2 linked regions of the Elephas maximus indicus genome follow. The protein of the gene in region 2 interacts with the protein of the main gene of each other region in a pairwise test. Links are inferred from orthologs where the notes say so. Each region holds a gene or a part of one and is shown on either strand. Other genes may lie near its edges.

Evidence for each region. The genes of interacting proteins can lie anywhere in the genome.
Region 1: the proteins of NCOA6 (region 2) and NR1H2 interact in a two-hybrid assay, tested with the Homo sapiens proteins (2 studies listed by BioGRID). The link is inferred for Elephas maximus indicus from reciprocal best matches to the Homo sapiens genes NCOA6 and NR1H2.

Annotation. Positions count from the first base shown.
Region 1 is NC_064829.1:98,026,350-98,037,123, reverse strand, and holds the start of NR1H2 (oxysterols receptor LXR-beta), read left to right. Parts: upstream 1-5,735; 5' UTR 5,736-5,866; intron 5,867-6,000; 5' UTR 6,001-6,108; intron 6,109-7,225; 5' UTR 7,226-7,244; coding exon 7,245-7,287; intron 7,288-7,387; coding exon 7,388-7,519; intron 7,520-7,780; coding exon 7,781-8,122; intron 8,123-8,209; coding exon 8,210-8,469; intron 8,470-8,647; coding exon 8,648-8,827; intron 8,828-9,880; coding exon 9,881-10,007; intron 10,008-10,774. UniProt on the Homo sapiens protein: Nuclear receptor that exhibits a ligand-dependent transcriptional activation activity. Binds preferentially to double-stranded oligonucleotide direct repeats having the consensus half-site sequence 5'-AGGTCA-3' and 4-nt spacing (DR-4).
Region 2 is NC_064843.1:34,633,935-34,644,935, forward strand, and holds the start of NCOA6 (nuclear receptor coactivator 6), read left to right. Parts: upstream 1-6,388; 5' UTR 6,389-6,591; intron 6,592-11,001. UniProt on the Homo sapiens protein: Nuclear receptor coactivator that directly binds nuclear receptors and stimulates the transcriptional activities in a hormone-dependent fashion. Coactivates expression in an agonist- and AF2-dependent manner.

The DNA.
Region 1 (10,774 bases), on a different chromosome or scaffold from region 2:
TGCTGTGATGCTGGAAGCTATGCAACCGGTATTCAGATACCAGCAGGGTCACCCATGGAGGACAGGTTTCAGCTGAGCTTCCAGACTAAGACAGACTAGGAAGAAGGACCCGGCAGTCTACTTCTGAAAAGTATGAGCCAGTGAAAACCTTACGAATAGCAGTGGAACATTGTCTAATATAGTCCTGGAAGATGAGCCCGCCAGGTTGGAAGGCACTCAAAAGATGACTGGGGAAGAGCTGCCTCCTCAAAGTAGAGTCAACCTTAATGAGTGGATAGAGTAAAGCTTCCGGGACCTTCATATGCTGATGTGGCGCAATTCAAAATGAGAAGAAAGAGCTGCAAACTTCCATTAATAATCAGAACCTGGAATGCATGAAATATGAATCTAGGAAAATTGGAAATCACCAAAAATGAAATGGAACGCATAAACATCGATATCCTAGGCATTAGTGAGCTGAAATGGACTGGTATTGGCCATTTTGAGTCAGACAATCATATAGTCTACTATGCTGCGAATGACAACTTGAAGAGGAATGATGTTGCATTCATCGTCAAAAAGAACATTTCAAGATCTATCCTGAAGTACAACGCTGTCAGTGATAGGATAATATCCATACGCCTACAAGGAAGACCAGTTAATACGACTATTCAAATTTACACACCAACCACTAGGGCCAAAGACGAAGAAATAGAAGATTTTTATCAGCTGCTACAGTCTGAAATTGATCGAACATGCAATCAAGATGCATTGATAATTACTGGTGATTGGAATGCAAAAGTTGGAAACAAAGAAGAAGGATCAGTATTTGGACAATATGGCCTTGGTAATAGAAACAATGCTGGAGATGGAATGATAGAATTTTGCAAGACCAACGACTTCTTCATTGCAAATACCTTCTTTCACCAGCATAAACAGTGACTATTTTTATACGCATGGACCTCACCAGATGGAACACACAGAAATCAAATTGACTACATCTATGGAGAGAGACGATGGAAAAGCTCAATATCATCAGTCAGAACAAGGCCAGGGGCTGACTGTGGAAGAGACCATCAATTGCTCATATGCAAGTTCAAGCTGAAACTGATGAAAATCAGACCAAGTCCATGAGAGCCAAAATATGACCTTGAGTATATCCCACCTGAATTTAGAGACCATCTGAAGAGTAGATTTGACGCATTGAACACTAGTGACCAGAGACCAGACGAGTTGTGGAATGACATCAAGGACATCATCTATGAAGAAAGCAAGAGGTCACTGAAAAGACAGGAAAGAAAGAAAAGACCAAGATGGATGTCAGAGGAGACTCTGAAACTTCCTCTTGAGCGTCGAGCAGCTAAAGCAAAAGGAAGAATTGATGAAGTAAAAGAACTGAACAGAAGATTACAAATGGCCTCTTGAGAAGACAAAATAAAGTATTATAATGACATGTGCAAAGAGCTGGAGATGGAAAACCAAAAGGGAAGAACACGCTCAGTGTTTCTCAAGCTGAAAGAACTGAAGAAAAAATTCAAGCCTTGAGTTGCAATAGTGAAGGATTCCATGGGGAAAATATTAAATGATGCAGGAAGCATCAAAAGAAGATGGAAGGAATACACAGAGTCATTATACCAAAAAGAACCAGTCGATATTCAAACATTTCAAGAGGTGGCATATGATCAGGAACCGATGGTACTGAAGGAAGAAGTCCAAGCTGCTCTGAAGGCATTGGCGAAAAACAAGGTTCTGGGAATTGACAGAATACCAGTTGAGGTGTTTCAACAAACAGATGCAGCGCTAGAGGTGCTCACTCATCTATGCCAAGAAGTATGGAAGACAGCTTCCTGGCCAACTGACTGGAAGAGATCTATATTTATGCCTATTCCCAAGAAAGGTGATCCAACCGAATGTGGAAATTATAGAACAATATTGTTAATATCACACGCAAGCAAAATTTTGCTGAAGATCATTCAAAAACGGCTGCAGCAGTATATCGACAGGGAACTGCCAGAAATTCAGGCTGGTTTCAGAACAGGATGTGAAACCAGGGATATCATTGCTGATGTCAGATGGATCCTGGCGGAGAGCAGAGAATACCAGAAGGAAGTTTACCTGTGTTTTATTGACTATGCAAAGGCATTTGACTGTGGATCATAACAAACTATGGATAACACTGCGAAGAATGGGAATTCCAGAACTATTAATTGTGCTCATGAGGAACCTTTACAAGGATCAAGAGGCAGTTGTTCGGACAGAACAAGGGGATACTGATTGGTTTAAAGTCAGGAAAGGTGTGCGTCAGGGTTGTATTCTTCCACCATACCTATTTAATCTGTATGCTGAACAAATAATACGAGAAGCTGGACAATATGAAGAAGAACGGGGCATCAGGATTGGAGGAAGACTCATTAACAACCTGCGTTATGCAGATGATACAACCTTGCTTGCCAAAAGTGAAGAGGACTCGAAGCACTTAGTAATGAAGATCAAAGACCACAGCCTTCAGTATGGATTACACCTCAACATAAAGAAAACAAAAATCCTCACAACTGGACCAATGAGCAACATCATGATAAACGGAGAAAAGATTGAAGTTGTCAAGGATTTCATTTTACTTGGATCCGCAATCAACAGTCACCGAAGCAGCAGTCAAGAAATCAAAAGACGCATTGCATTCGGCAAATCTGCTGCAAAGGACCTCTTCAAAGTGTTGAAGAGCAAAGATGTCACCCCGAGGACTAAGGTGCGCCTGACCCAAGCCATGGTATTTTCAATCGCATCATATGCGTGTGAAAGCTGGACAATGAATAAGGAAGACCAAAGAAGAGCTGACGCCTTTGAACTGTGGTGTTGGCGAAGAATATTGAATATACCATGGACTGCCAAAAGAACGAACAAATCTGTCCTGGAAGAAGTGTGGCCAGAATGCTCCTTAGAGGCACGGATGGCGAGACTGCATCTTACATACTTTGGACATGTTGCCAGGAGGGATGAGTCCCTGGAGAAGGACATCATGCTTGGCAGAGTAGAGGGCCAGCAGAAAAGAGGAAGACCCTCACAAGGTGGATTGACACAGTGGCTGCAACAATGAGCTCAAGCATGACAACGATTGTAAGGATGGCGCAGGACCGGGCAGTGTTTCTTTCTGTTGTGCATAGGGTCTCTATGAGTCGGAACCGACTCAACGGCACCTAGCAACAACAAGAAAACATCCCTCTGGTGTTGTCTGCTTTCAGCCAGGATCCATCTGACATCAGCAATGATATCCCTGGTTCCACGTCTTCTTCCAAGTCTGGCTTGAATTTCTGGCCCTTCCCTGTTGATACACTGCTGCACCTGCTTTTGAATCAGCAAAATTTTGCTGGCATGTGATATTAATGATACTGTTTGATAATTTCCACATTTGGCTGGATCACCTTTCTTGGGAATAGGCATAAATATGGATCTTTTCCAGTCCAGCTGGCCAGGTAGCTGTCTTCCAAATTTCTTGGCATGGATGAGTGAGTACTTACAGTGCTGCATCCATTTGTTGAAACATCTCAACTGGTATTCTGTCAATTCCCAGAGCCTTGTTTTTCGCCAATGCCTTCAGAGCAGCTTGGACTTCTTCCTTCAGTAGCATTGGTTCCTGATCATATGTTACCTTTTAACGTGGGTGAATGTCAACCAAGTTTTTTTTTGGTATAGTGACTCTGTGTATTCCTTCCATCTTCTTTTGATGATTTCTGCTGTTTAATATTTTCCCCGTAGAATCCTTTAGTATTGCAACTCAAGGCTTGAAGTTTTCTTCAGTTCTTTCAGTCTGAGAAATGCTGAGTATGTTGTTCCCTTTTGGTTTTCTATCTCCAGGTTTTCGTACACATCCTCACAATACTTTGTCTTCTCGGACTGCCCTTCCAAATATTCTGTTCAGCTCTTTTACTTCATCATTTTTTCCTTTTGCTTTAGCTACTCGATGTTCAAAAGTAAGTTTCTGAGTCTCTTCTGACATCCATTTAGGTCTTTTCTTTCTCTCCTGTCTTTTTTAATGACCTCTTGCTTTCTCCATGTATGATGTCATTCCACAATTTGCCTGTCTTGGAAGTACAACCAAAATGTTCCTTAGAAGAAAGGTTGGCCGGACTACGTCTCACGTACTTTGGACATATTATCAGGAGGTATCAGTCCCTGGAAAAGGCATCGTGCTTGGTAAAATAGAGGGTCAGCAAAAAAGAGGAAGACCCTCAACGAGATGGACTGACATAGTGGTTGCAACAATGTGTTCAAGCATAGCAATGACTGTGAGGCTTGTACAGGGTTGGGAATTGTTTTGTTCTATTATGCATAGGGTTGCTGTGAGTCGGAATTGACTGGAAGGCACCTAACGACAACATTATATAGAAAGAGCTCATTCGGGGGGGGGGAAGGGTAGCAGCATATTTAAAAGAACAGCTGAGCTAAGACTTAGCACAGAAGTGGGTCTCAGACCTTTTGCTTCTAAATTGGTCCTGGCTTTTATCTGGTGACATATGTCCAGTGTTTTTAGTTCCTTGACATGAGTTTCTTGGTTCCTCAAACCAAAAGACCAAACCCAGTGCCGTCGAGTCAATTCTAACTCATAGCGACCCTATAGGACAGAGTAGAGCTGCCCTAAAGAGTTTCCAAGGAGCGCCTGGCGGATTTGAACTGTCCACCCTTTGGTTAGCAGCCGTAGCACTTAACGACTAAGCGCCAGGGTTTCCTTGGTTCCTAGGCAGGACTAATTATGACATGGGGCAATCAAATCGTTTCTGTGTCTATGCAGGATTCTAGTTTTAGTTGGTTTGCCTAAAAAACAATCCTAAGAGGAAGCATTAAGGGAAATCTGGTTGCTTATTGTTCAAAATTTAGCCTCAGGTTAAGATACTGGTTCTCTTGTGTCCGGCCTACGCCATATGTTGTTTGCTTTCGAATTTTTACAGCTTCTGCTCGCAAGAGGGTTAATTTTACCTCAGGACCCCAGACCTGTCTCAGAACATTATCGGATATAGTGCAGGATGATAAGCCCCTCATGGTGGAAGGCACTCAAAAGGCGACTGGGGAAGAGCTGCCTCCTCAAATAGAGTTGACCTTAGTGATGTGGATGGGGTAAAGCTTTCGGAACCTCATTTGCTGTCGTGGCACTACTCAAAATGAGAAGAAACAGCTGTAACATCCACTAACAATCGGATTATGGAATGCTCGAAGTATGAATCTAGGACAGACAGAATGCTGATTAGTAAAGAGGATGATGAGACTTGTGTCATGTACTTCAGACATGTTATTAGGAGAGACCAGTCCGTGGAGAAGGACATCATGCTTGGAAAAGTAGAGGCTCAGTGAAAAACAGGAAGACCACCACAAGACGGATTAACACATTGGCTGCAATGATGGGCTTAAGCATAGAAACGCTTGTGAGGATGGCACAGGACCGGACGTTGTTTAGTTCTGTTATGCGTACAGTCTCTATGAGTCGGATTAAACTCCAGGGCACCTAACAATAACGAATCTTTGGCTGCGGGCCCAGAGAGGCCACAGAAGCGCTAAGGCCACACAGCTCGGGACGGGAAGGTTGGGGACTGGCAACGCCCCCTCAAGGACATTTGATTGCTTTGGCGCGGAACTCCTCAGCCACACCCTAGTGGAGCAACCCGGAGGGGGCAAACTTCCGGTGGGTGTGCCACTTTCGTGCGGGGCAGCCGATTCAGCTGTTGTAACGCGCACCGGAATTCCGTCATCTGTCACTCCCCGCCCTTTTCCGGAGGTGACGCACGACGGGGTTGCCGGAAGAAGTGGCGAAGTTACTTTTGAGGGGACCGGAGCAGTGGCGGCGTTCAAGGGGATACAGAGAAGGAGGAAGCGGAGCAGAGAAAGCGGACAGAGTCAGGTGCACCCGAGGGGGGCGTGGGAGGAGTCCGGGGCTATGGCATCTCAGCCCTTCCCGCGCCGCTCCATTCAGCCCCCTTCTTTCGTTCTTCCCCCGCCCCTTCATAACTCGTACCGCCCCCCGGCTGTTTCCAGGGTAACGGAACCAGGAGACCCCGCGAGAGGCCGCCCCGAAGACCCCCACGCGCAGCCATGAGCCCCGCCCCCCGCTGGTGTTTGGAGAGGGGCGGGACCTGGAGCGAGGTGTGGGGGCGGAGCATGATGGGGCGAGGGGGAAAAGCCTGACGGGAGGGGAGGGGGCGGGGCTTGTAGAGAGGGGGTACGGATGGGGCGGGGCTTGGAGCACGATGTTGGGGGCGGCCGTGAGCGGTGGAGATGAGAACCGAACTTGGAAAGAAGGGGGTGAGGATCTGAAAGGAAAAGATGCGGACAGAACTAAAGTTTGCTCAGAAGAAGTGACGTGGAGTCTGAGTACCCAAGCCAGTAGTCGTGTGGTGGATTCTGCCTTATAGTGACCCTGTAGGACAGAGTAGAACTTCCCCATGGGATATCTGGTAGGGGCTGGTGGAGTCAAACTGCTGAACTTTGGGTTAGCAGCTGTAGCTCTTAACCTCTGCACCACCAGGGTTCCTGAATAAGTAAAACCAAAAAGACCCCACCTGTTGCCTAAGAGTCTATTGTGAACCACAGCGACTGTGTAGGCCAAGAGTAGAATGGCCCCATAGAGTTTCCAAGGAGTGCCTGGTGGATTCGAACTGCCGACCTTTTGGTTAGCAGCTGTAGGTCTTAACCATCAGGCCACCCGCATAAGAACAGGTGGGGTGGAATTTGATGGGAGGGAGGAGTGAATGCTTAGCAGGATTGAAGGAGGAGGGTGGGACCTGGAAGTAGCAGGTAGGAGGGAAAAACCTTAGTAGGGTGTGCCTTGGAGCAGAAGGGGCCAGACCTGGGGACATGGGGAGGGGAGGAGCCTGGAGCAGAAAAAGGGCAGAGCCTTTTAGAATAGGATGGGAGGGTTTGAAGGTAGGAGCTCCTGGTGGCGTCTTTATGGAGTTGGGGAGGAGTCTGGGAGAGATGGAAGGAGGAGAGGGGACCTCATTAGCACATGTAACTAGCTCAGAGGAGACCCATCCTGACTCCTCAAGTCTCTTAAAATGTGTTGCCATCGAGTCGATTGTGACTCATAGTGGCCCTGTAGGAGAGTAGACCTTACCCATAGAGTTCCAAAGCAGACTGCCACATCTTTCTCCCGCAGAGCAGCTGGTGGGTTCAAACGAGCAACCTTTCAGTTAGTAGCTAAGTACATAACTACTGCGCCACCAGGACTCCTTTTGAGGCTCATAATCCCCCTGTATTGCAGGCTGCTCCGTGACCCCACCATGTCCACCCCCACCACCAGTTCCCTGGACAGCCCCCTGCCTGGTGAGTGTCCCGCACCCACACCCAGCCCACCCCCCCGCAACACACACACATCGGTCAGGAAGGAGGCACTCACTGTGCCTCCCTGTTGCCTCTCTCCCAGGAAATGGCCCCCCTCAGCCTGGAGCCCCCTCTTCTTCACCTGCTATAAAGGAGGAGGGCCCTGAGCCTTGGCCTGGGGGTCCAGACCCCGATGTCCCAGGCACAGATGGGGCAGGCTCTGCCTGCAGCGTGGGTGAGATGGGGCCCCAGGATGGGATGTGGAAGTAGGTGTTGGGGCTCAAGGTGGGATCTGGGAAGGTAGAAAGATTAGAACCAGGATGGGGAGATGGCAAGCCCCTGCCTCTTGTTGATTTTTTGCCTCTCTCGTTCCCCCTTGTCATCTCTTGCTTTGATTCATTCTTTGGGGTGCACTGACACATCTTTCTCTCTGGTCTCCATCTCCTTGGGTGTTCACATCTCCCTGCTCGGGCTTCCACCCTGGGACCTCTCTTAGGCCTGTCTCCCTGTGGCTCCTTCTCTCATGATCTTCATCTGACCACCCTAGTCATCCCAGACCCAATGGAGGAGCCAGAGCGCAAGCGGAAGAAGGGCCCAGCTCCCAAGATGCTGGGCCATGAGCTGTGCCGCGTGTGCGGGGACAAGGCCTCTGGCTTCCACTACAACGTACTCAGCTGCGAGGGCTGCAAGGGCTTCTTCCGGCGCAGTGTGGTCCGTGGTGGGGCTGGGCGCTATGCCTGCCGGGGCGGTGGAACGTGTCAGATGGACGCCTTTATGCGGCGCAAGTGCCAGCAGTGCCGACTACGGAAGTGCAAAGAGGCGGGGATGAGGGAGCAGTGTAAGTGTGGGCGGTGGGATGCGGGGCTGTGCCAGCCCGGCGCCCACTCTCCTTAGAGCCTCTGCTGAGGTCCGTGTGCCCACACAGGTGTCCTCTCCGAAGAACAGATTCGGAAGAAGAAGATACAGAAGCAACAGCAGCAGCAGTCACCCGTGGGGTCAGGAGGTGGCAGCAGCTTATCCTCTGGGCCTGGGGCCTCCCCTGGGGAGCCTGAAGGGGGCAGCCAGGGCTCTGGGGAAGGAGAGGGCGTCCAACTAACGGCGGCTCAGGAACTTATGATCCAGCAGTTGGTGGCGGCCCAGCTGCAGTGCAACAAGCGCTCCTTCTCAGACCAGCCCAAAGTCACGGTATGGGCCCTCGTGCAGCCTCGAGGAGGGCCAGGCACACCAGGGTCGAGCCGGCAGGGCTGTGGCCTAAAGCAAGGGAGGGCAGGAGCTCTAGAGGATGAGGCTTGGCCTCCAGGTGCCCCCGTGGCCCTGGTTCCAGGGAAGAGTCTTGTGTGACTCTGGCCACCTGTGTCCTCAGCCCTGGCCTCTGGGTGCAGACCCTCAGTCCCGTGATGCCCGTCAGCAGCGCTTCGCCCACTTCACAGAGCTGGCCATCATCTCCGTGCAGGAGATTGTGGACTTCGCCAAGCAGGTACCCGGCTTCCTACAGCTGGGCCGAGAAGACCAGATCGCTCTCCTCAAGGCATCCACCATCGAGGTAATGGCTGGCCCGCCCATCCCCAGGCAGGCGCTGCCCTCCTGCCTCCGAGGGACCCTGGAGAGGAGCCCTAGGGTAGATGCTGGGTAGCGGCAAGCAGGACTTACCAGTCCCTGCTCTCTTGGAGGAGACATTCCATGGAGGAAGATGTTGTTCTTGTTCTTAGCTGCCATTGAGTCGGTTCTGACTCGTGACTCCACGTGTGCAGAGTAGAACTGCTTCATAGGGTTTTCAAGGCTGTGACCTTTTGGAAGCAGATTGTGAGGCCTGTCTTCGAGGCGCCTCTGGGTGGGTTCAAATCACCAACCTTTTAGTTAGTAGTCGAGTGCTTAACTGTTAATGCCACCCAAGGACTCGTTACAGAGGAAGGTAGTGGATGTCAGATGCATTCACAGGACCATCAGAGTTTTGCTGATCCCAGGACAGAAAGGAACAAGGGGTTGAGTTTGAGGACTGGGCTAGAGGGGCCTGCTTTAGGAAGAGTGTGCCAAGAAGGCTTTCTCCAGGATAACAAATAAGTATTGATTGTCTGCTGTATAGGAGCCTTGGTGGCACAACAGTTAAGTGCTTGGCTGCTAACCAAAAGGTTGGCTTTGGAACTCACCCAGTGGCTCTTCAAGAGAAAGACCTGGCGATCTGCTTCCGTAAAAGATTACAGCCTAGAAAACCCTATGGGGCGGTTTTACTGTGTCACATGGGGTTGTTACAAGTCGGAATCAACTCCAGGGCACCTAAGAACAACAATAGCCTACTGTGTGCCAGGCTCTGTCCTAGGTGTTGGGGATAGAGCAATGAACCAGACAGACAAAGATAGACGAACACTTCTGCTGCCTTCCTGGTACAGATCTGGGAAAAGCATGAGCTACGTGGAGGATGCAGTGCGTGCTGAAGCCTGGGGGAGGGAAGGAGCCTGGAGAGCTCCACGTGTGGACCAGCGGTGATGTAGCTGAGAGCAGGGGTCAGGGTTGAGCAGTGATCCTGATGAGACCAGCCCCTGACTTGGGCCGAAAGGGGAGGCCTAAAGGGTTACACAGGGCCCCCTCGTGCCCCCAGCCTCCCCCTGGTCCCCACCACCCTCAGATCATGCTGCTGGAGACGGCCAGGCGCTACAACCATGAGACGGAGTGCATCACCTTTCTGAAGGACTTCACCTACAGCAAGGACGACTTCCACCGTGCGGGTAGGCCAAGCGCAGCATCATAGTTACCTAGAGCTGCTGTGACAGAAAAACACCACGGCAGGGTGGGGAGGTGTGGGGGTAGCAAGGCCTTTCAGGAAGACATTTATTGTCTCAGAGATGGGAGGTCCTGGTGGCACAAAGGTTAACTGCTCAGCTGCTACCATAAAGCTTAGTGGTTCAAGCTCACCCAGGGTCTCTCCGGGGAAAAGACCTGGTAACCTGCTCCTGTAAAGATTAACCCAAAACCAAACCAAACCAGATGCTATCAAGTCGATTCTGACTCATGGTGACTCTAGGACAGAGTCGAAGTGCCCCATGGGGTTTCCAAAGCTCTAATCTTTATGGAAATAAACTGTCACATCTTTCTCCTGCGGAGCAGGCTGGTGGGTTTGAACCGCCGACCTTTCAGTTAGTAGCCAAGCACTTAACCACTGCTCCACCAGGGCTCCTCTGTAAAGATGACAGCCTAGTAAACCCTAGGGGGCAGTTCTACTGGGGGCAGCTCTGCTCTGTCACATGAGATCAGTACGAGTGAAAAATGATTCAGCAGCACTCAACAACAACAAAGTCTAAAGCAGGATGTTGTCCATGTTGGTTACTTCTGGGCGCCTCTCCTCTAGTTTCCAGTGGCTACTGCAATCCTTGCCATTCCTTTGCTTGTAGATGGGTCCTAACAGGTGTCTCTCTTGACCTTGTATGTGCCTGTTCTGATTTTTATACCACCACTGCGAAGGGATTAGTTTTAGGGCCCACCCTACTCTGATGTG
Region 2 (11,001 bases):
TAAGACACTGAACATCATTAGTCATTAGGGAAATAACAAATCAAAGCCACAATAAGATACCACTTCACACCCAGTAGGTTGGCTATAAAAAAAATAAAACAAAAATCAGAAAATAGCAAGTATTGGTGAAGAAGTAAAGAAATTGGAACCCTCATACCTTGCTGGTGGTAAGACATAATGGTGCCGCTGCTGTGGAAAAGAATTTGGTGTTTCCTCAGTAAGTTAAATACAGAACTACTATGATCTAACAATTTCATTCCTATGTACCAAAAAGAACTGAAAACAGGTGTTCAATCAAAAACTTGTACACGAATGTTTATAGCAGCACTGTTTACAGTAGCCAAAAAGTAGAAACATCCCAAACGTCTATAAATGGATGAATGGATAAACAAAGTGTGGTATATCTATACAATGGAACATCATTCAGACATAAAAATGAATGAAGTACTGATACATGCTACAACATGGATGAACCTTGAACACATTTATGCTATATGAAAGAAGACACAAAAAGCCACATACTATATGATTCCATTTATATGAAATGCCCAGAATAGGCAAATCTATAAGACAAAGTAGATTAAAGATTGCCAGAAGAATGGAGGGAATGGGGAACTGAGATTCCTTACAGGTATGGGTTTTTTTTAATGTGGTGGTTGGAATGTTCTGGAATTAGATGGTGTGATGGCTAAGATTGTGTGTCAACTTGGCTGGGCCATGATTTTTAGTGTTTTGGCAGTTGTATACCGTTGTGGTCACTTCCCTGTTGAAATTTGATATGTGATCACCCTTATGATGGAATCTGCTGAGTGATAACGGTGGGGGCGGGGCCTGTGGCAGTTCACCGCCCCCTCAGCCTTCATCTTTCCACCCTCTGCCACCTACTTCCTTCACACTCTCCTTGCCAAGGCTTTTGGCTTGTTCTGGATCCTGCAGATGCCTCTTGTTCATCTGACCTTCGGTTCTTGGGACTTGAGCTAGCAGCTTAGTGCCAATCTTGGGATTTGGTGATCTTCACAGCCTGTGAACGAGGGTCCTGCTCTCTGACCTGCCAACCTTGGGTTCGCCAGCCCCTGTGGCTATGTGAATCAGGAGAAGCCTCTATCCTGATCCACAGCCTTCGGACATTCCAGCCTCTACATGACTTCTCTCTCTCTATATATATTTATATGCTTACTGGTTTTGCTTTTCTAGAGAACCCAGCTTAAGACAGATGGTGATGCTGGTTGTACAACATTGTGAATGTACTAAAACCCACTAAATTAAACACTTCAAAATTGTTAAAATGGTGAATTTTAGGTTATGTGATTTTATCTAAAAAAAATAGGTAAAGGATCTAAATAGACATTTTTCTAAAGAAGATATACAAATGGCCAATAGCACAAGAAAAGATGTTCAACATCATTAGTAATCAGGGAAATGCAAACCGAAACCATAAGGTGATACCATTTTATATCCAGTAGGATGGCTACAATCAAAAAGATAATAATAAGTGTTAGCAAGGATGTGGAGAACTAGAAACCCTCATACAATGCTGGAGGGAATGCAGAATGGTTCAGCCACTTTGGAAAATAATCTGGCAATTCCTCAAGTGATTCAACAGTTACCATGTGACCCAATAACACTTCTAGGTCTACTCAAGAGAAATGAAACTTGTGCACAACTGTTCATAACAGGATTATACAAAATGGCCAAAAGGTGGAAAAACCCAAAATGTCCACCAACTGAAATGAAAATGCAAAATGTGGTATACTTGTACCATGAAACATTATTTGACCATATATATAAAGAAATGCTACAACATGGATGAACCTTGAAAACATGCTAAATTATCCAATTATCATGATCCAAAAGACCACATATTGTATGATTCTATTTATATGAAATATCCAGAATAGGCAAATCTATACAGACAGAAAGTAGATTAGTGGTTGCTAGGGCTGGGGTAGTGGAAGAAGAGAGGTCTGACGGTTAAGGGTATGAGGTTTCTTTTTGAGGTGATGAAAATATGCTCTGAAATTGACTATGGTGGTGGTTGCTTATATCTGTGACTATACTAAAACCATTTGAATTGTGTACTTTAAATGGGTGAATTGTATACTTTAAATGTGTATTATATATATCAATAAAGCTGCTTTAAAAAATACACAGAATTTGGCATTATCAGCTAAAACCCTGGTGGGGTAGTGGTTAAAATGCTTGGCCGCTAACCAAAAGGTCGGCTGTTTGAACCCACCAGTTGTTTCATGGGAGAAAGTTGTGGCGGTCTGCTTTTGTAATGATTACAGTCTAGGAAAACCTATGGGGCAGGTCTACCCTGTCCTATAGGATCACTATGAGTTGGAATCCACTTAATGGCAATGGGTATGGCAGCTACAGCTGAATACAAGCCAATTCTATGACCCCAGTCCTAGGTATATAACCAATAGAACATTGTACATATGTTTACCCAAAGATATGTACAAGAATGTTCAAAAAAAAAAAAAAGAATGTTCATAATAGTACTATTAAAAATAGCCCTAAAGGAAAAACCTAAATGCCCACCAGTGGTAGAACGGATAAATTATAGGATATTCAAACAGTGAAATGCTATGCAGCAATGAAAATAACACACTACAACTACATGCAAAAATATAGATGAATCTCGAAAACATAAAATTGAGCAAAGGAGCCAAAAAGAGTGCATTCTGTATGAATCCATTTATATATATGTGTGTGTGTATATATATATATATATATACACACACACATATATATATATGTATATATATATACACACACACATATATAAAGTTTAAAACTTGGCAAACCTAATCTATGGATTCAGGATGCTGCTCTCAGGGTGGTAATGAGGGGAAGGGAAACTATGGGATTTCTGGGGGCCTGGTAATGGCTCAGTGGTTAAGAGTTCAGCTGCTAATGAAAGGGTCTGCAGTTCCAGTTCACCAGCCACTCCTTGGAAACCCTGTGGGATAGTTCTAATCTGTCCTGTACGGTTGCTATGAGTTGGAATTGATAGCAATGCGTTTGGTTTGGCTTTTGGTAATGTTCTGTTTCTTGATTTAGATGCTGGTTGCACAGGTTTGTTCAATTTGTGAAAATTCATCAGCTTTACACATGCTCATACGAACTAAGCCTTTATGCAAAGTACAAAGAGTGTACATTATTTCCCTTTGAAAATTATGAGCGTATTTTGTAATAACAAGGCACTTACTGCCATCTGCTGGTAAATTAACACAACAGATTTACAAACCTACAATGTCTATAATGGGAATAGCGCCCACTTAGATGTGGTTTCCTCTTGCAGGGCACAATTTCCCGAATTGCATATGGTAACCCTGTTTGGTTTTGTTGTGATGAGCCCTGCAGAGAGTAGAATGTTGGTGCGTTCTGGGTTGGTTTGTCCTTTTTTTTTTCCCCATGTTCGTTGTTACTTGTTCTTCTGAAAAACATCATTCACGTAGTCACTATCAATTTTATCACTTCAAAGCTTAATGTACATATGAAAATAGAAGTTCAATAAATGCTCATTTGAATAAATTGCTCATATCAAAGAACAATGGATTTGCTTTTTATTTACCCAAGTCTGATTCCGGAACAAGAAGCTGGGCATCTTAGGACTACTTTTTGCTCAAAACACTCTGTGAAACAGCCTAAAAATGTATTCAGAGGTTTGTGTTCATCTGCTGCATGTTGAGGCCATCATCTGTGCTAGACACCCTTCTAGACATTCTTATGTAACAATTCATTTAGTTCTCCTGAGGACCTTATGAGATAGGAGCCCTTATTATCTGCATCTTACAGATAACACAACTAAGGCACAAAAAAGGTAAGTGATATTACAAGTGATGGTTATTCAAAAAGAGCTTCCTTGGGGGAACTTACAGTCTATTTGGGACACAAAACAAAATAAATGAAACAAAGAAAATGCTTTGGACCCTGTCAAACAAAAAAAAAAACCAAACCTGTTGCCGTTGAGTCGATTCCAACTCATAGTGACCCTAAAGGGCAGAGTAGAACTGACCCTGTTAGGCAAGTCATTTATCTCCTTGTGCTCTCATTTTCTCATCTGTAAAACAAGGAGATTGGATTTGCTCAATATCACATAGCTAATAAATGGCAGAGCTAGAACCTGAACTTGGGCATTCTGGCTTCAGAGTCCAAGCTTGTAATCATTACGCACACTGTCTGCCAGTTCATGGTCTGTTCTTGTTCCTTTGTTGCCTTCCTGTGGGGCTGTGGACCCTGTTTATGCTGCTATTTTCACTTCCAGGATGTGTAGGCAACCAAGTTGGCACCTCTGTCCTCAACTCCTTGTTTCCTTGCTGATCCCGGGAAAACCAATGACCCTTGGCTTAAGGAAATGGATAAGAAAGTGAAAAGTAAGGACAGTGGCTCAGGTTGTGGAATTTTTCAGAGCTTTCTTACCTTCAAAAGCTTTTGTGGGGCTCAGAGGTCTGTGGATGATGTCATTTCAGCCTCTGGGCTGGCTGCTGGCAGGACCCCTGTCTAAATAGGATCAAGTGACCAGAGTTTCTCGTTCAGTCTTTCAGATTAACTAATCAGTCAAGCAACACATTAATTGTATCATTATCCAAATAGTCACTCTTTAGCTCTGTCAGATTTCCAGGCTAACACAAAACAGTACGTACTATACAGTTCTGTTTATGTGAAGTTCAAGAACTGTCAAAGTTAATTTACGGTGCTAGAAGTCAGAGTAGTGGTTACCTTTGGGGAATCAGGTATTGACTGGGAGGGGACGTTCTGGAAGTGACAGAAGGGAACCCTTTGGGCTGTTAGAGATGTTCTATAACTTGATCTGAGAGGTGTTAACACAGGAACATAGCTAAAAATTTATTAGGTATAAAGTTAAGATTTTTGCATTTTGCTGCATATAAATTATACCTCAATTTTTCAAAAGTTTCAAAAAAATAATGTCCAGCCTCTTGCAAAGTCCTTCGGTGTTAATTTTATAGCTGCACTGTTGTTCTCTTTGCTTTTCTCTGTCCTTTTGGACTCAGCACCTAGTATAGTGCACAGGATCCATACATACAGCAAATATTGATTGAGCGCCTACTCTGTGCCAGGCATTGTGTTACATGCTGAGGGAACAGCGGTGAACAAGGGAGTCCACATTCTAGTGGCAATAAACCACCTAGTCTGTTCTATCAAGGATAAGTGCATGCTGCTAAGGGGGCCTGTCTGGGGGGGATGGCCAGGGAAGGCGTTCTTGGGGTAGTGACATTTGAGTTTGGATCTGAAGGCTAAGGGGGGCAGAGCATTTCAGGCAGAGAATGAGCATGTGCAAGGGTGCTGAGGAGGGAGGGATTACAATGTGTAAAGAATTGGGAAGAAGACCATTGTGGTTGCAGCCCAGAGATGGAAGAGGGCCTGAGATGCACCTGGAGAGGTGGGGAAGACAACAGTAAGACATTGATTTGGTCTTTATCTCAAGAGCAACATGAAGCTGTCAAATAGTTTCAAATAGGGGACTAACATAATCAGATTTCTGACTTAGAAATGTTACTCTGACAGCAGAGTGGAGAATAGATTGGAGAGGGTGCAGGGAGCATGTGAAAAGGCTGTAAGTGGGTACTACACTAGTCCGAGCACATAGTGTGTGCTCAATAAATACCTGTGAATGAAAGGGCTCCCGACTTCTTTTCTAAGATGAGACCAGGACACCTATAAGCAGTTTACAATCCATCTGCTCATCTTCTATCTTCTGTGATGCTCATAAGAGACTCTTTACTTCCATTTTACAGATGAAGAAACTGAGGTTCAGAGAGGCAAAAAAAATCACACAGCTATCAAGAGGGAAAGGCAGATCTGAATTCAGAGCTGTATGACATCAAGTCCAGTGCTGGGGGGTCCTCCCCACATTTGAGAGGGGAGGGGGCCACACGCACTTGTTCACTAAAGGGATATATTTATTGAGCACCTACAGAGCTTGCTAGTGTGGTGGTTATGAGAAAAAGTAGAGAGGAGCTTACAGACAAATAATGATAAAGGCTGTTATCTTCGTTACGCTCCAGGCCCTGTGCCAAGTGCTTTCCATGCTTTTCCCATTTCCTCTTGTCAATCGCAACTACTATCCCCGTACTTCAGATGAGGAAACTGAGGCATGGAGAGGTGAGTTACCCAAGGACACCCAGCCAGAGCGCTCCCGCTGTGTTGTGCAGTGGTTAGAAGTCGGGGCAGGAGCCACTGGTGAGATCACGGAGCAGAGAAACTGACACAAATCCATGCCATCCCAGCACTAAATGCTCTGCACCCACGTGAGCGGGCGCGCGCCCCTCGCGCTCCCGGGGACGTTTGGTCACGTGGACAGGGCCCCGCCCCTCTGGTCCGCCCCGCCCCCTCCCGCGCTCCCTCCCTCCCTCCCCCTCCCTCACCGGCCCGGTCCGGCCCATCCCCCTCCCCGCCGGCTCCCTGAGGCCCTGGCGGGTCGGGCTGCGGGCGGCCGGGAGCAGACGGCCGGACAGACGGGCGCACGCGAGGACGGACGGACGGACGCACGGAGGGCTGCGGGCACGCACGGCCCGGGCCGGCTCTCCGAGGCCCGCCCGGGAGGGCCGGAGCGGCGCTCAGGTGAGGCGACGGCGACGCGGGCCCGTAAGGGGTGGGCCCGCCGGGCGTCCGCGATCTCGGCCCGGCTGGCTCCGCGGGAAGGAAGTGCCGCTCGGGCCCGGCGCGGGAAAATGGCGCCGGCCGACCGTGGAGCGCGGCCCGAGTACGGGCCGGGCCCGGAGCCGCCCCGCCCGCCGGGCTGGTGTCCCCGTCGCCATGTTGGGGAGCGGGCCCCAGGCCTGCGGGCGGGGGCGCCGACGGGAGCGGGGGCTTGGCCGGGGGTGGGGGGGTTGTGGGTCGCCGGGTCTGGAGCCCCGAGGGAGTGCAGGGCCGGGCCGGGGTCTGCACGGCGTGGCGCTCGGGGCCCAGGGAACTGGCGGGAGCCGGACGTGGGGTCGTGGCCGGGGTCGCGAAGAAGGGACACTGGGTCCGAATGGAACCGTGGCCGGAGTCTACTGAGTTAGGTGGGGGCAGGACCTGAAGCCGAGTTGGGCCATGGGCGGTGTTCAGGACCCCAGTACAGGTTCGACCCGGGGGACGTGGGGGCCTAGCTCAAGCTGTCAAGGCTAGGACAGTTCTCCAGGTGGGTTTGATTAGAAACGGGGGACCTTCGGGTTCAGACGGAGGTATTGGATTGGGCAGCCCTCGGAGTCCTGGCGCTGAATTGCAAGTTTTTATAACCCCCAAGGGACTGAAGACTTATGTACCCCAGGGTTCTTCACCCTTCATTGGCGAGAGCACCAGAAAAAGGGAAGGGTTTGATGAGGAAGAGAGAAGAAGGGGCTGAGGTTTGAGTGAAGGAGCTGGCCAGCAAAAGGGGTGCCGAGTGGAGCTGTTGGCAAGGAGAGAGCAAGCCTCCATCAATTTAGGGAGTTTGTCTGTGTCTTTAAAAGGAGGAACCAGGCTGTTTGGGGGCGGTGACCCAAGGTGTCTTCCCAGGAAAGGGACAGCCCACTGCTTAAAAGCAGGGTCACCTAGGGAGGTCGTCGGAAACGCATTTATCGAAGCCAGTAAGCTTGGTAAAAAGGAGTGAATCCTGTAATGGTTTCAGATTATGTAGTGATTTTAGGTGAGACATAGAAAGGTAAAGTTGATTTCCCAAGATCTTAGAAGCAGTGGCAGAGGGGATTCCAGAACTCAGGTTTGCTGCCTTCTCATTCATCACGCTGCCTTAAAAGCATGTGGTAGCTGGGAGAAAAATGTTAAGTAAAGAATGGCAGTATGTATCAGAAAACTATTAATGAATTGGTTTTATAATGCGTTGTCAGTGCAGAGGGTGGGGGGGGAATACCAAAAAGTATAGGTAACCAGCTATTTGTTATTAGCTCACTTCCATTTATGCAAAAAAGTTATCTTCAAGACCCTTTTGACCTCTAACTTCTTATAATTTTTAGAAATGATCCTTCTCTTTTAGTGGTTGGAGCTGACTCGACAGCAGTGGGTTTGGTTTTATACCGTAAATGGACACAAAAAGCCTAAAAAGATAACAGTAAACAATGGTAGAGACCCAGAATCTCTGTCATGATCAAATGTTAGTCGAAGTTTGATCATAATAGAAAGGAGTTCAAAGTTCAGATGGGCTGTGGTAGAGTTCTCAGGGAAACTATGCAAATTGGTCATGATGTGGTAGGCCCAGAGCCCCCATAAAATTAAAAAGATTAAGAGAGCATTTATAACAGTAAAATTTTCATTATTGTATGTATATACAGCAACGCAGTTCATTTATTCTGGGTCTTTTTAATACAGGGGTGTCATGGGCCCCTTAGCATCTGATGAAGCCTATGGACTCCTCTCAGAATAATATTTTTAATTGTATAAAATAAAATAATATAGGATTACAGAGGAAACCAATTATATTGAAATAGTTATTAAAATATTACAAACTGTGATATAGTAATGTATATACTTTAGCAGCACGTTAAAAAGATCTAGTCAAAGAACTAAATGATGTCCGGCTGTTTAACTCATGACTGCCCTGACAGGGAACATAACAGAGAACCCCTGAGGGAACGGGAGAGCGGTGGGATGCGGACCCCGAATTCTCATAAAAAGACCAGACTTAGTGGTCTGACTGAGACTAGAAGGACCCTGGTGGTCATGGCCCCCAGACCTTCTGTTGGCCCAGGACAGGAACCATTCCCGAAGCCAACTCTTCAGACATGGATTGGACTGGACAACGGGTTGGAGAGGGATGCTGGTGAGGAGTGAGCTTCTTGGATCAGGACACTTGAGACTCTGTTGGCGTCTCCTGCTTGGAGGGGAGATGAGAGGGTAGAGGGGGATAGAAGCTGGTGAAATAGACACGAAAAGAGAGAGTGGAGGGAGAGAGCGGGTTGTCTCATTAGGGGGAGCGTAATTGGGAGTATGTAGCAAGGTGTACATAAGTTTTTATGTGAGAGACTGACTTGGTTTGTAAACTTTCACTTAAAGCACAATAAAAATTACAAAAAAAAATTAAACACAAAAAGATCTAGTGAAGGGTCTGATTATTTTAATTTCAAAGAAATGAGTATAAGTAATATTTTTAGATATCTATAACTACTGAAATATATAAAGGTATCTGTGATGTTTGTATTGACAGAGTCATAGGTGCTGCTAATAGTACAATGATTTTTTGTCTACACTTATGTTTGAAGAAAATGGTAACTTCAGTTGGAGTTCAGTGAAAATAACACAAGTTCACGGACTCCCTGAATTCTCTCTATGAGCTCTTGTCTCTAAACCTCACGTTAAGAAGCCTACTATGATTCCCACTACCAGGCATATCTTCCATTCAACAGTTATTTATTGTGTGCCAAGACATCTGGTGTGTCAAGCACAGTGCTCAGTGTGCTAGACTCTGAGGATTCAGAGGTCTTTACCAAAAACTCCAAATCTGTTGCCGTCCAGTCAAGTCCAACTCATAGTGACCGTGTAGGACTGAGTAGAACTGCCCCATAGGGTTTCCAAGACCGTAATCTTTACGGAAGCAGGTTGCCACATCTCTCTCCCACAGAGCCACTGCGTCATCAGGGCAGGGTCTTTGGGTGTTTGGTCCAGTGAGAAGTAGACATGTAAACAATGATAGTTTAGGATGACAAATGCCAAAGGAGAGTTATCAAAGTTTGTAAGGACACAGTGGTGGGAGTGTCTGCACCACAAATCAGGGAAGATTTTTGTGAAGATATGTCTTGAAAGATAGAGGAGTTTGGAAGATGGAGAGTTGGAGGGAAGAGCTTTTCAGGTAAACGCATGCATTTTCAGGGAATGTAATTGAATGTGGCAAGAGCATAGGGTGTGTGTGTATGTGTGAAAGAGTGGTTGGAGGTGAGACTGGAGGGTTGACTGGAACTTGGTTGTAAAGGACCTTGTTAGGGAGTTTGGACTGAATCCTCTGCTGAGGTAGTTGGTTGCCATAGAGTCAGCTCTGACTCATGGCCACCTTATGCATAACAAAACAAAATATTTCTCAGTCCTGCGCCATCTTCATGATAAGTGGTATGTTTGAGTCCCTTGTTGCAGCTTATGTGCCCGTCCATCTTATTGAGGGTTTCTCTTGCATTCGTTGATCCTCTACTTTGCCATACACAATCAGCTGTAGTATGGTGAGATTTAATTTTTAGAAGATAAATGGATTCTCTTTGGAAGGAGGGTGGACTGGAGAGCAGAGAAGTAATGATGAGCTGAACTAAGGCAGAGGCTGTGGGCATTACACAGAGTTGGAGTTTTTAGGTGTTGATAGTTAATATCATTAGTGGTGAGAGAGAAGGAATTTTTTAAATTTTTAGTTTGGGATAAGGAGCCCTGGTGGCGCAGTGGTTAAGTGCTTGGCTGCTAACCAGAAGGTTGGCAGTTTGAACCCCCTAGCTACTCTGAGGGAGAAAGATGTGGCAGTCTGCTTCTGTAAAGATTACACCCTTGGAAACCCTCTGGGGCAGTTCTACTCTGTCCTATAGGGTTGCTATGAGTCAGAGTCAACTCAAGGGTAACAGGTTTGGTTTTTGTTGTGTTTTTTTTTAGTTTGAGATGGTGGCTGTCAAAGAGGTTTAGAAAAAAGGTAGATGGAAAATGAGGTGAGAATTGTCAAAGAAGAGTGTTTTTGGTAGAGTAATAAAAAAGAGTAATAGGCTTTTGGAAATCATTGCAAAGCTGCCAGTGAGATGTAGTTTTTGTTTTTCTTTTTAAATTGTGTTTTAGGTGAAATTTTACAGGGCATATTAGTTTCTCATTCAACAATTTATTCACAAATTGTTTTGTGACATTGGTTGCAATCCCTGCAATATGTCAGCACTCTTCCCCTTTCCACCCCAGTTTCCCCATTTCTGTTCATCTAGTTTTCCTGTCCCTTCCTGCCTTCTCCCCTTTGCTTTTGGGCAGGTGTTTCCCATTTGATCTTGTATATGTGATTGAACTAAGAAGCACGTTCTTTACTTGTGTTATTGTTTGTTTTAT